Drosophila melanogaster: one gene and its partner. The protein of the gene in region 2 interacts with the protein of the main gene of each other region in a biochemical or structural test. Each region holds a gene or a part of one and is shown on either strand. Other genes may lie near its edges.

Evidence for each region.
Region 1: of the proteins of Galphao (region 2) and loco, one has a biochemical effect on the other in vitro, tested with the Drosophila melanogaster proteins (one study listed by BioGRID).

What each region holds. Positions count from the first base shown.
Region 1 is NT_033777.3:22,635,007-22,642,308, forward strand, and holds the start of loco (locomotion defects), read right to left. Parts: upstream 4,382-7,302; 5' UTR 4,011-4,381; intron 3,942-4,010; 5' UTR 3,934-3,941; coding exon 1,795-3,933; intron 1,451-1,794; exon of another isoform or gene 693-1,450; coding exon of another isoform or gene 639-692; intron 1-638. UniProt on the Drosophila melanogaster protein: Acts as a regulator of G protein signaling (RGS).
Region 2 is NT_033778.4:10,434,651-10,442,185, reverse strand, and holds the start of Galphao (G protein alpha subunit o), read right to left. Parts: upstream 4,202-7,535; 5' UTR 4,080-4,201; intron 3,939-4,079; exon of another isoform or gene 3,835-3,938; intron 3,716-3,834; exon of another isoform or gene 3,694-3,715; intron 3,581-3,693; exon of another isoform or gene 3,449-3,580; intron 2,816-3,448; exon of another isoform or gene 2,812-2,815; 5' UTR 2,741-2,811; exon of another isoform or gene 2,673-2,740; coding exon of another isoform or gene 2,555-2,672; intron 1-2,554. Other genes in the region: CG12895 (uncharacterized protein), read left to right, coding at 4,849-4,866, 4,923-5,104, 5,167-5,437; RanBPM (Ran-binding protein M), read right to left, coding at 6,964-7,100, 7,157-7,268, 7,401-7,535. UniProt on the Drosophila melanogaster protein: Guanine nucleotide-binding proteins (G proteins) are involved as modulators or transducers in various transmembrane signaling systems.

The DNA of each region.
Region 1 (7,302 bases), on a different chromosome or scaffold from region 2:
AGTTTACTAAGTGCTGCATCAATATTTTCATATAGACATGTGTGATTTGATTATCTAAGTGCTAATATTTGAATGTTTCAGATCCCAGACTATATATGTATGTATAATATTCTTAATTTATGATAGTAGTTTTGAGCACTGTCTATTCAAGCAGAGCACACACACTCAAGGTAATAATAATTACCACCTTACCACCAGGTGTCACAGTTTTATGGAACGGCAAACAAAAAGAAACTTTGTTTGCTGATTGCGACCATGAGAAAAGAAATAGAGCATACTATATCAAAGGCGTAAGAACGTGCTGAAATGAGCAAACAAGCAGATTACTAATTCCAAACGATACATAGTGGTTTGCTTTAGTCACTTTTAAGGGGGATTGAAAATAGAGAATTTCGTTATGTAGAAGGGTGAATCGTACACAATTCCCAGCCAGGCATAAAACAAAGTAAATATGTTACCAGTAACGTCAAATTTATTCCACGAGCGATCTTAAACCTCTGCCTAATTACTGACTTATGCATAATAAGAGTTCGATCCCACTGTTTTTTTTTCTGAACTTTTTGAGAAGGGTGTATCATCGATCAAGTGGGCAGCGATAAGTGTGAGATATATCCACAAATCACATATTGTCAGCTTACCTCGATCTCCTTCTCCTCGGAGTACAGGCCACAAACGAGTTCTCGAAATGACATTTTTGCATCGAGCTGATCACTTTTGTTGTTTGCCTGTGCAAAACAATTGCACTTGCAATTTTTTTGTTTGTGTTTTTGTTCTTGCTTTATCGTAATGACAATTTATTTATATTTATTTCAGTCACAACTGCTGACGAAGCTCCTTGAACTGGCGTTGAACTTTTTATGGAGCAACTTTTTCACAGACGGTTATATTATTTATATTTTCATTTTAATATGCCCACATCGTGTACTATGTATTTAGTATAAAACAAATACACGAGGGAACAGCAACTGCACAGCGAGACGAAAGTGAAACCGCCGCAAACGGACGACCGAATCGCACAAAAATCGTACAAAAAAATCGCGTGTTGTCAAATCGAAAATCAAACTAAATTACGAGTACCCGATGTGAATTCTGTGGAGGATTGGGATGTGGGGGCCGATCGGAGGAGCGAAAAGGTCAGTCGACATCGACGCCATTAATTGCTTTAGATTGAATTAAGCTCGAGGCAGAGGAATCGACGGCGGAGGCAGCCGCTCGTGATGGAGCTCCACTGGTGATCGGCTTCAGTCGTGACCTACGCCCATGACGTCATTCGGCTCGGAGCACTTTATTTTTAGCCAGCGACTTCCGCCCTTATCAACCATGACGCGTTCGAATCCCCAAACCGTGATAATACCGATCGGAGCTGCAGTGTAACGGCCTGGACGTAAATAGTAACTAAAATCCGGCGATGTCCGTACCCGAATCGTAGATAACGGAACCGTGGCCACCTATTGCCAAAGCCCAACTGTGACTACCAAAACTCCGGGTAAGCGGACAAAGGAATGCCGATATATGGCCCACCAGACCACTAGAGAGAGAGAAAGAGCCCCTTATCTGTGGGCCCAGAGAGCAGGAGGAGCAGTGTGGGGCGATAAGCTCCGAGAACGCAGGTAACTTGGAGCGGCGTCCAGGTAAACAGATTTCTGCCCGCGCACAGGAGCGGTTCACATAAGCCGAGGGTTGTATGGGTTAGATTTGATATAAAATGCACTTATGATTATATTATAGGTATTCCCAATCATTTCAAAAACTTATGATACATGTAGGATAAACAAAAGGATATGCTCCACTTACCCCCAAATCAGGTTCACTGTTCGTAGCTTCTAAAAGGCAGTGGGAGGACGAGGAAGCGGACATGCTGGTCCGATCCTTGTGCGATTTGTGCAGATTCTGCAGGCTGGCCCACGTGTCCATGGTCTGATCCATACATGCACCACTGACCGACGACTGCACACTGTCGATGGCTTCGAAGCCCAGCGAATGACGCGAGCCAGGTTGACCAAATACCTGGGCACTCAGCTTGTGTGGCGTTGTTGGCGTCTCCAGAGCCAACGATCTGCGCATCTTGCGGGGCACACACGCTGGATGGGCAAACGTGTGGCCCTCATCGAGCGATGGAGCAGCCGAGTGCAGCGAAATGTCATCCATAGAGGCCACGGCAGCCAAAGTGCGCGGTGAATCGTCGACAAAAAGATTAAGGACATCATCACAGGAGCGGGTGGATGTGAGATTCGTGGCGGGACTTTGGATCAGATTGAAGCTGGCCAGGAGATTGGGTCGACGAAGCGAAGAGCTCGCTGGCGGCGATCTTAGCAGGGCGGAATGATCGGGCATGGCCCGCACAGTCAGTCGATTATCCGGTATTCCCACTATGCCCAGTGGACGAGCAGGAGCTGGATAAGTTGGTGGTCCTGCATGTGCCGCCGCCGCTGCTCCCGCTCCTGCAGCTAGGAAGTCCACAACCAGAATGCGATCCGAAATATTCGTACAATCGTTGTTGAAGCCAATGCCCGAATCCGAATTGGACGTGGTGGTGGAGATCTCGCTGTGGTTCGATGGCTGCGGCGAGTGGGCAGCTGCTACTGCTCCTCCAGCTGCGGCGGCTCCTGCACCCGCCTCATAGTCTGCCTGATGACTCCGACTTGCCGGTGGGAGAATCCGCATGGTATACATGCTGCGCACGAGATTCACCACATATTCCGAGTTGTTAGGGAACTCGAGACACAAATTCGAGATCGGATCCCGGGTGCACTGCAGGCGGAACTCGTGGGCCCGCTGCAAATGCTGTGCATGTTCGATCAGCTTGGTGTCGATGACGAAGACATGGCAGCTGTGCGAGATACTGATGTGACCAGCAGCTGCTGCGCTGCCAGCGCTCGGCTCGTACTCCTCCTCGATCTGTGTGTTGTGCACGGCGCTAGTGACCAGACCAAAGAATCGATTCTCGCTCTCCGACGAAGAGCTCACGAAGTTCAGCCTGGCCGAGGAGTAGGTGGCCAGCACTCCGCCGCTGGAACTCTGCAGGCTCAAGCTGTCCGGCGTGATGCACATCAGCACAATGGTGGGCTGTCGCTTCTCCTGTCTCAGTTTTCGAATGCAAGATCGAACTGTCTGCAGCTTGGAACTATGCGAGATCTGCTTGGGCATCTCGATGGTTCCCAGATAGCCAACAATAACACGGCACTCCAGTGCAGCACTGCCCACAGCTCGCACCATGGCACTTACATTGGCCACATCCGCTGCTTTGGATAGATTGGCTGTCAGAGGCGGATCCTCCAGAACGGGTTTTAATGTAGGGTGATCGGGTGATGACTTTGATTTGTGCGGTTCCACTGCCTCTGGTGGGTTTAGCTTCTTTTGTGGCGAGTTGCGCAATCTGTGCAGTTTGGCTTTGTGGTGTAGAAACCTGGGCTTGTGCCTCAAACTGGCTGCCAACAATTGACCCCTCAGCGTGGCATGGGCGTTCTCCTCATCCGAGCTGTCGGAATAATAATTCTCGGCGATCTGCATGCGAATACTGCCAAAGGAGTTGCCAATGAGCTGCACCACTGTTTCGTGTGGCAACTTGGAGACATTTAGACCGTTGACCGATATGAGGAAGTCACCGGAACGCAGGCCAGCTTGCTCGGCAGGTGAGCTGCTGATGATGCAAGACAGCCGACATGGTTGCTGCCCGGAAATGGTGAAACCGAAGCCATTGTAACCACGTCGCACTTCCACGGTGCGGATGCCATTGTAGTTGTAGTTGGCTCGCTTCTTGCGACGTCGCTGATGCTGCTGGCTGTTGGATCCCGAAGGCGTGGTTGAGGTGCTTATGGGGGCGGGCCCACTATTCGCAGCAGGTGATGCATCCTCCGCTGCAGCTGCTCCCGTTCCCACGGCTGTGGAGCCACTTGCTCCGGTTATGGGCAAAGGCGGATGATGGTGGTGCATGGCGCTTACTGTGTGGAGAAAACGAATGATGAGGAGTACTGGCCAATCTTAACCCACATCTGGACATTTGTACGCACCTTTCTCATGGATGGAAGCTGCAACCTGGATTTCTGGAAATGGAATGCGGTTTCTGTTGCGCCCCTTTTTGGATGATGCCCCCTCTCGCTCGCACCCGTGCGTCGCCTATGCCAACTATGTAATCAATGGCACACACACATGCGCACCAATGGCCAGGCGTATTTTGTTACACTTTTCTAGGCCTCTAATTAATTGATAACTAACTCTTCTTTGGGTGCTACCTCATATTCACGCGGTTAATAACATCGTTGTAACTTTATCAGGCATATTTGTAGCAATTAATTGTGTGTAAATCGGTAATTAAAATTATGTCTACAATGCGCAAGCGTAACTATGATTAGAGATGGAACACACTAAAATGTTTACTCGATACTATCGATATTACATACCTTTTGTGAAACATCGATCACTTTGACACACCATATTTTTAGTAATTACTGTTAAAGTTTTGCAGAATGTCAACAATTTTTAACAAGCAGTTCTAGAGAAAATTTGATTTGTTCAAATATTGAAGGCATTGACCATTGATAGAAAAACGATATTTACAAATTTGAATTAGATAAAAACAGGGCTGCCAGACTCATTGAAATTTATGAAGCAATCGTTGCCACACTGGGCTGACCTTCGTTGCATAGCAACGAACTTTTGTCACATCCCACTGCCGTCAGTTACTTTTCGATTTAAATAAAAGCTCCGAACGCTCGTCCTTTAAAGTCCTTCCGGTGAGCTTACATCTGCGTAGCGTGTTATTTGTGTTTGGCCCACGCCGTTTCAGTTACATTGGGACTTTCAAACGCATTGGTTGAACGCGCGCACCCAGAACCGCTGTTGAATTAGTTTTTGAACCCGAAAACAGCAGTTAAATTGCTCGAGTGAAATGTAAAATGTTATTGGTAAACGGATCGAAGTGTTCGAAGTTCTAACGCTGAAATGTTTAAGGATTATCCGTAGCAAGACCTGCAGAAGTGACCCCAGTCAGCCAGTGTTGAACCAATTGAAATGTTGGCAAGGACATTACGGACAAAGAATAGAAAGCCAATAGAAAGCAATGGGGGTGGGATGTTGCGGAAACGGAAGTGCCAAATTGAAATGCCATTTAAGCCAGGCGAGCGATTTGCCCGTCTTCGTTTACGGCTCATCCGGATTCGTCTGCGTCTGGTCAGGGCACTCAGATTTCTTGCGGGGAATGGATTCGAGAGCGCGGCAAGTGCGATCCCCAGACGACACTTGGCGTCGCTCTTGACATTGATTATATTCATGAGACCAAGTCATAAATTCCAGCCCGACTGTTTACGAGGATTCTAACACCAATCCGCTGTCCCCGATTCCCGGTCTCTGCCCAAAGATGTGGCCAAGTTGCGACTGGAGTGCCAATAAAATCATTAACTGTTGCAGCGCATTAAATTCATGGCCCAGACGATGCTGCCGCGCTATTCAGGCAGCAAACATTGTCATAAAACCTCGGCCCATTCACGCCATATTTCATTTCATCTCCTCATCTCCATCTACCTCACATCCATCTACCTCACATCCTAATTGCCGAAGGTCCTGAGTCCCGTGGGCGTGTGAAAAACTATTAAAAGGCCGTTGGGCCGTGCATCGTGGGCCCATAATTAATGGCGACAATGACTTGATCGGCCGATAATTAATTTATCGTCATTTATATTGCCAAACTGACTCGACGCGCACATACTATATATGTGCTATATACATGGTTACCAAAACGGTTGGCGATCCCATGGGAGCTCGTAAATTGTCCAGAAGTCTAGTTCCTACTTCACTTTAATTTCTTGGCTAGCGAAAGTTTTCTTTTCAACTAAGCCCAAGTAAGTTTCAGTTGGTTCTATTGTATTATTTTGGCACATGCTTCATTCCTGCTCGCCTCTCACATAGTTTTGGCCACAAATTAGTTTGGCAGTGGATTTTGTTAGCCACTAGGAGATGCCGAGCATTTTGCATTCCCATACCAACCGACTTTTCGCCTGTTTTGTCCAACTATTTTGCTGCTGAAAGTTGGCAGGAAAAGTTTCTCAATTGCGACGAAGAAATCAATTGGAAATGATTGAAACCTAATTTCCCAAATGGACTGAATACATAAATCAATAAATTATGTCCCCTCGAAGATGGGAATCGACGGAAGCACCTCAGTCATTACCGAAAGTTTAATGTATTTAAGGGTTAATAATATCGATCGAACTGATTTTTGATTGATGAATGTCCTGTGAATTTATTAATGTCACCATTGTTTGCTAAGTGTTTTGTTATTTGATTATAATTGGGGCTCATGAAAGCATTTCATTGGATCGTATATTAAAGAATATTATTAATATACAGTAATAAAATGGAAAACTTTGATTGAATTTTTTCCATATATGTACAAAAGTGTCAAAGTTCACTGCTCGCATTCATGTTTGTGTGTGCTCAAATGGTAAATCTGACCAATGTCATCAATATTTCAACAAAAAAGTAAATATTTTCGCTTCACTGAATCGCAGTGAACCGTAAAGAGCAGTAAAACTATGCTGATAGCAAGCTTTGTGTCTATGACATCCAGCTGCACCTGATGAAAATCCGCCATTCTATCCGCTTAGGGATTTAATTCGTAAACGTCTCACTGGAAAATTAATAGGAAAATACGCAATTTTCACTGGAATGCCAACTTTCACCCCTGACATCTTAGAATATACTCTTTTTTTTTTTTGTGGCATTATCATACCCACACTTTTTGTGGGTCCTAAGTCGCCGTCCTTGTCGCGATTTCGGAAATTGTTTTTACCCACATTTCATTTGTTTCCCAAACTTTCTGCATTGCGCGAGCGCCAAAAAAGCAAAAAATTGACACAATTTAAACTTTTCTATAAACAAAAGCAATGCAGGGCAGCCAAACAGAAAAGGTTAGCCAAACGAGCCATTTGTTCGCGCTGCTGTTTACTTCCTTTTTGCCCCAAATTTTTCCCCTTTTTAGCTGTCGTGGTTATTTTTTCGTATACTCCAGTTTATTACAGAACTCACAGAAATTAATGCTGCTGGGGTTTCTGGAGGGGTTTTTTTTTTTTTTTTGGCTTTTGTTCAAATTTGTCAAAAGGAAAAGGCTGACCGAAAACGTTTGCTTCGTCCTTTATTTTTCCGCTTTTGGTTTCTCAATTTCGTTTAAATTGCGCACATTTGAAACAATTTGCCAACAGCAAGCGCCCACACATGCATTTTTTTTTTTTAACAGCAGAATGCATTCTGCGGCTTGGCAGAGATTTATGCAGGCATTTCATAAAGCTGACAACATGGCGTATGATT
Region 2 (7,535 bases):
TTGATCAAGAAATATAAGTAATTATTCAAGAATTTGAAAGAAAAATCGGTGACGCATTTTAAGGCTTTAGAAAAACGGAATGTTTCATTCTCCCCAAAGTTACAAATCGAAATGTTTTCCAAGAATTGGTCTTAATAGGTCCCGGAGCGTATTTAAATTATATTCTCCAGATCGCAATAAATATATTTAAGATGTTACGCACTTTTTCAGACGAATTAAAGTAAAAATTCCACTATATAAAAAACTCGTATATAAACTATAACTTTAAAAAATATTTAAACTTGTAACGTTCTTCTGATTGGAATATGGTTATTATTTTTTATCATTGGAAAAGATAAAACAAAATTCTTTTCGAGTTCATAAACATAGAGTCTTATCTTTTTTAACTCATAATAATTATTTAAAATTCTACCAAAGAACTAATAGTTTTTGTTCTTATCTATCTAGGAATGTTGGGGTTTTACAAAAATGAAACTTCTACGACGTTTATTTGCCAACTAGTCAGTTTGAGTTAGCAATTGTTTCTTGATTGTTTCACGTAGCCATATCACTCGACGGCACAAGGGCCGGCAAAGTGGCAAACAAACGAGCATCGAACGTTTCCTCAATAGCCTTTCCTTTCGGCTTGAAAATTATGCCTCAAGTGGCGGTTTCTTCAAACTTCCGCCAGGAGGCGCCACTCGAGAGGCACAGTGCTGTGGTGAAGTATGCAGCCACACCCAGGACATGTACACGTTTCCTCTCGCTCCCTTCCGTCCGGTGCCGCTGTGTCCATTGTTTCGTTAGTGTTTCCTGGCCGCCATTCGATGCTTCCGCCTGCCATTCGTCTGCCCCTCGACCTGCCCCCGACTCCGGCTTCTGGGCACCACCCCCTGCAGAGAGAATCGCCCATACCGTCGCACTTTCAATGTTGCAACATGGCTGCAATACACTCCCTCCTCGGCACTCCTCGCTACTCGACTCTGCTCCTTGTTGCTTGTTAGGGCGTTTAAAAGTTTTGCCTGATTGCACAGAACAACAGCGAGCAACTGTGTGGGAAGTAATGGGCCTACACAGCAAACAAAAACGGGTTACAGAGCAGGGGAATATGTATTAACTTGAGAAACTTGTTCCAAAAAAAAAAAAAGGCATCTATCTTAACTAAGTCATATAAGAAGTACTTTGATCTGGTTTATTTTTGGTTTAAGCATTAAATGTTTTGTAAACTTTATATCTTTAACTTTTGGTTTGTTTGAATGCTGCTTTAAGTGCATCCACGATATGGAGATTTTGCTTGTTTTTCGCAACATGTTTGTGTACAATGTTAAAGTGAAAGAGAAATTCCCGTGCATATTGCAGCTTTGTCCTTTTTCTGCCTGACTGCATCCCTATCTCGTTTTCGGGGGCAAGTCAAAGTCAATGGGATTAACTGACATTTCGGTGTCAGTGGCGCAACCAGGTTAACAAACACTGCACCTCGAAACCATGCTACATGGTGCACACCCGCCCACTGGCACACACGTGCAATTGTTTCAATGTCAAGTGGCGTCGATTGCCCTCATCTTTTGGCGGATGCAGACGCACTTGGACAAAATCTAAGGCTAAGGCTAAGGCTGCAGCTGCAGCTCACAGATGCACTCGACGATGAGATTCAGGCTGATGCAGGATAGAGATGACAGCAAAGACAATATCTACATGATGATTTTTTAGCATCTTTAAATTCTTAAGCTATGTTCAGATAATTTGCACTGTTTTCTTAGATTTGGCTAATTCTAGTCATTATTTTATATATTTTTTAAAAACATTGTAATTATTTCATCACTATCGAACTGTTTGGTACTGAAACCACTTTAATCGGACCGAGTCATCCGCAGGCCACATGGCTCCTCGAAACTGTTTAGGTTTTCACACTCGCCTGCCACGAGGGCGGATGCAACTGTTGCTGCTGCCATTGTCTAAGATGTTGCATGCACAGTGGTGCATGAGTCCATTTTATTTTCGGATATCCATGCCACATGCAACACCCAAAAGTTGACCCAAATTACTTCGGTTTCGCCTTGGCCAAAAAAAACACGCTAAAAATAGTTTTGTCATGGAATCGATTCATCAGCACTCAAATAGAGTGGAATAACCTTGAGTTCGATTCCTTTTGTGGGGCAACAAGTCATTACATTTAATTTAAATAACCAGTCAGTACATACAAAAATCATAGTTTTTGAATTTACTTTTATTCCAGTCTTTGAATCTTCTAAAAAATGTGAACTCTGATATAAGCCTTGATGGAAATTGAAGAGCAGCTAATCCAAAATTGCGTCCAGTACATCCAGCATTTCCGCCGCAGAGTAAAAGTGTGTGCAATAAATATCCCCCTATCTATCGGCACATAAAACCGAAAATAAAATTTTCCAAGTGCCCCGGAATCTGGCGGCCGATAGATAAACCAGCAATTTCCACCAAAATAGAACGAACAATAGAGTCGAGTCGAGTGGAAAGGTAAACGCTGAGCAGGATTTCCATTTCCGGTGAGAAAAACCCAAGTGGAAAAACGAGAAAAAGCGACGAAAAGTGCACTTACCCAGCAGCAGGAGCTTGATGTCCTTGGCCGCCTGGATTCCATCCTCCTTTAGATTCTTCTCGATCTGTTTGGATCGCTGGATGGCGGCGCGTTCTTCGGCGGATGTGGTGCAGCCCATTGTGGTTGGGTTTGGATACTGATTTGGATTCGGATTCGGATTTACACGGGGCTTTTCGGTTTTCGGGCTTTTGTTTTCCAATTTTCCTGGACTTTTTTCTTTATGTCTTATTTGCTTATGTACAGTTTAACGATTTCAACTGAAATGGAGTATTGAACCCATCAACAATAACAAATACACGGGTCAGCGGATGATTCACTATAAACAGTGCGCGATCGATAAGGCGAACCAATGAATATCAAGGATGTGTTAAATATACAGCCGAGTTCAAAATAATAATGTTGAGTTATCTTAAATTAATTTTGTCTGCTGTGTATAAACACAAATTGTAATTGTAATTGTAATATTCTTTCTGTTACTCAACTATTATGAGAAACACAGCTGTATATTAATTTGTATGTAATAGTTAAAAAGATTATTTTAAACTGATGTTACAAGGTTTATGGAACACATCGTTCGCTCTATGGATGTTGTACTGTACTGAGACAAGCACTAATTTTATGACCGCCACTGTCTGTGCAATGGGCCGCGCACTGTATCAATTATGTTGCTTTTGTTTTTTATCAGCAGACGCAAAGTAAAAATAAAAGCAATGATAGCCAGCTAATTTGCATATGGAGCATGTTTGCGATATCGATACAAAATTCATCAATCGCGCTGATAAGATAAATCCATCAGATAATGCTGGATCGCGATAAGAACGATGGTAATTTATCATGTAAGTGAATTAGTCTCGAGGTCAAAGAGCCAAAAACTCAAGCTTATTTTTTGGATACCACTTATTTTTTGTTGTCACACTTTTAATAAAACTTTTATAAATTTTGTTTGTTTTTTTTTTTTTTTGGTTTTATTTGTATGTTTTTTATGCAGTGTGTATGTATTAAGCGTGGGCGTAGGCGCTAAAAAAGCGCCGGGTTGGTGGAAAAAAAGGCGGTGGGTTGTGGAGTTTTCTTTTTCGAGCGTTTGCCTAAGCACATTAACATATGCAAAAAGTAATGCCGTTTTTATGCAAACTGTTAACCATTTCGGATGTATAAATTTTCATTTAGTTTGTCGCTGTTTCACTCACACGCGCGCACACACTCACTCACTCACACGCACGCACTACGCACTCTCACGCGCTGCACACGCCACACCCCCCGCCCACTGGGCCGCCACCCACCACCCCACGAGTTTTCCTTTTCCTTTTTTTCAGCTTTTTTCAGCTTCACATTTACCACCGCCTAGTTTTCCAGTCGTATACACACCGCACTAGTGTATGCGTGTGTGTGGGTCTGCTTCAGCCTGCTGTGTGCGTGTGTGTGCAGGAGGCTCTCTTTTGCGTTTGGCTGTTCTTATTGGTTCCGTTCGCTTTGCGCTTCTTTTTCGCGACTCGCTGTATTTATTGCACCGATCGTGATAGTTTACCGTTGCACTTGCCGAGCACTTGCACTTGTATTTTTGGCCGCAGTGATATTGGTAAATTGCACTTTTCTGGTGTGCGAAAATTTAGCTGCTCTCTCTCGCTTCGTTCGCTCTTTCCAACTGCAGAGCGAGGCGTTCGAACAGCTGTTGGCGGCGTCGGTGCGCAGCACTGGACGCGGCGGGGGTGGCTGTTGACCAGCACTGGCCGCAACAACAGCTGCTGCAAAACAAGCTTATATTTAAAAATTTAAATTTGTTAAAATCTTCCGCTATTTATATACATATAATTTAATAAAATGTTTTATATAAATATGAAAGAACATGCTCACTTTAGTTTCAATAAATATTTTGCATCACTTTGTATGTACAGACATTTATTTTTTTATTATGTTTTGAAACTTATCTGGATTTTAAATAGCAGGCCACTCAAAAGGATCTCATGAATACAATATTTGAGCTTTAAGTGATACAAATAGAGATATATTTTTTATTTATATTATTGCAAATAATTATTAAAAATTCGCATACCTTTCATAACAATTGCAGTGCATATTCTCCCAAATATATTCATATTTAAAATAAAACAACTATTTTAATTTAAATTCGCCTGAGGTTTGAACGGTTAAATAAAATAAATGATTAATTCAACAAAGTGTGCACTTTCCAGCACTATTTATAGCAACAGCCGATTATTATAGCAGGAATCTATCGATTATACTTAACTTTCTTAGCCAACACTGTCGTTATATCATTGTTTTGGTCGTTTCCTAAAATGTTGCGGCAATTTATAGTAAGTTTATGGCCCCAAATGTAGTAAAATATAATTGATTGCTTAATTGGACACAGGTATCTACGGTAGGCCGTCGCCTGCAACTACCTATGATGGCCCAAAGTCGCCTCGCCAGCAATTTGGACAAAACTGAGTACACAACACCCGGGGAAATTGTGGACTACGATGATCCGCCGCATTTGCCAGTTCCGGAATATCCTGTCCGTCCCGATGAGCCGCTGGAAACTCGCAAGCAGCGGTATACGCTTAAAATGAAAATATCCCAAACTCCTACTTATGATCATTCATTATCTTGTGCAGCCTTTTGTATCAAAGCAGGAAACGCGGAATGCTGGAAAACGATCTCTTGCTGAGCACTTTTGTGGCCAAGCATTTGAAGGACTTCAATGCCGAGCAGACCGCCGAGTACGATCAGTTGATCAATGGTGTCAGCAACGACTGGGATATATTCTACTGGGCCACCGATACCAAGCCAACACCTCCTCAATTCGATACCGAAATAATGCGTCTGCTAAAGGAGCACGTCAAAAATCATGAAAAAGTGCAAAGGATAAGGCAGCCGGATTTGTGAACATTATAAACTATATTATATATATAAGCATACAAAACAATGTATTAAATGAATGTGTTATTCTACTCCTGATCCTTAAAAGACCAATGACTTGAACTTGCATTTTACCTGGTATTTAAAAACGATCATTTATACGGAATAATAAATAATACGGTTGCAAGTGATTTGGTAATTTGAATGTGCTTTCATTTTTATTTTTATTTGTTGAAAACTTCAGCTTAATCAACAAATCATGACATTTGAAAAGATACAATTTTAATATATAAAACTGAACACATTGTCAGAATGGCATATATTTAATCCAATTTGAACCCCCTTTAAAACACAGTTCTCGCTTTCCTGAAATACACATCCATACAATATATTTAAACGATTATCCAGTTAAATTCTATTCATGTTTGCCGAATGTGTGTATGACCAATCTTGTATATATAGATTAAATTTTAATACGCTTAAACACTATAGCGAAACATTACACTTAAAATGTTCATTTGCTTTTGCTTAGTCTTGCCACAAGACACGGGATGGCGCGGAGTCCATCGAAAATCGCTGAAAACACGGAGAATTAAAACGCGAATGTCTACCAGTTAACTATGGATTCGGTTCTATATTAACATGCTAAGGAGATGATTGAACAGCTTTTGCTCCAGGCTAGTCCCTTCACTATCAATTCTAGATTATATTTTGGTGTGTGATTGTTGTGTTTCGGGCGGTGGAAGCGAAAAACAAAGGGCTAATTCAATTTCAAGGGTCGTGTCGCAGCACATTTCGCAAATTTAATTATACATCATAATATTACACACTTTATGCTTAGAGAGGCTATATAAAATATATGTTAAAAGTTATTAAAAATCACGCCAAATCAAAGGCCGCCAAACGCATAGCATCTTTAGCATAATCGAACAATTAAAAGAACGGCGATTAGTTTTAAATAGGCGCACTGAAGCCGGTTGCGCAGGTAAAAAAGAAAGAGAACGGAAGTAACAACAAAATTTAACCTACTGCAAATTGTAAATAATCTAAATTTAGTCCAGTGTCTCGAAGAAGTCCTGCGGATCGACGAACATCGATGGGCTGCTGTTTCCGCTCAAGATTTCCGCTTCCTCCTCCTCCTGGCGAGCCGCCTCCGCTTCCGCTTCTTCCGCCTCCTCCTCCGCTGCCGCTGCTGCAGCCGCTGCCGCCGATGAAGATGAGCTGACCCCGCTCCTGCGACGACCCCGACGCACTGGTCCCGTGCCCGTGCCCCCGCCCACCGATGCCACAGCTGCCGACCGGAGCGTACTGCCCGTCATCACGGGATCGTAGGTCCGCGACGACGGGGCATCGGTATTGCTGGACAGGGAGGATTTGCGGCGACGTTTGTTACGCCGCCTTCGGCGTCGTTTGCTGGTCTGAACTGCCACGGCAGCCGTTGATGTGGAGGGCCCAGATCCGGTTCCGGCGCTGCCCAACGGTTCCGTAAGCACACTGGTTCGCGGCAGGGTCAGCGTGGTCTCGAACATCTTCAGCAGCGTCGGGGAACTGGGTCAATTTTGCGGGAACACATCGTCGATGGTAATGAAAGCGTCCTCGCCCAGCGAGTGCTGTCCGATCACCTTGATCAGCTCCGAGGCGTGAGCCACCAGGTATTCCAGCGGCGGACGACGCTCGAAGTTCAGGGACTCTGCATAATCATAGTAATTAGTAACTTCGTTTCGAGACAAGTGTTTAAAGACTTACCCAATATGGCCGAGTTGAGTGTGGTGGAAACACTCTCACGTCGCGAGGGACACAGCAACCAGCCCAGCGGACTGGACCAAGGATTAGAGTAGGCAATCAGACTAAATGCATCCTGTAACAACCATAAATTGAATATCTCTCGATTACGGATAATCATATTCTTATTGAAGTTATTTTTCAAATACAAAGAGTGCTTAGTCTGCAAGATACCAGTTTCTATTGTTTATACATTTTTATAGTTTACCTCCAACATTTGACGCTCCTCTTCAGTCATTAGGTTCTCCTTCTCCAGCTGCTGGCCCATGCTGGACAGTTCCTTGCCGAACTCAAGGATCTTCTCGATCACACGACCACAGTTACGCGATGAGGGGGAAACATC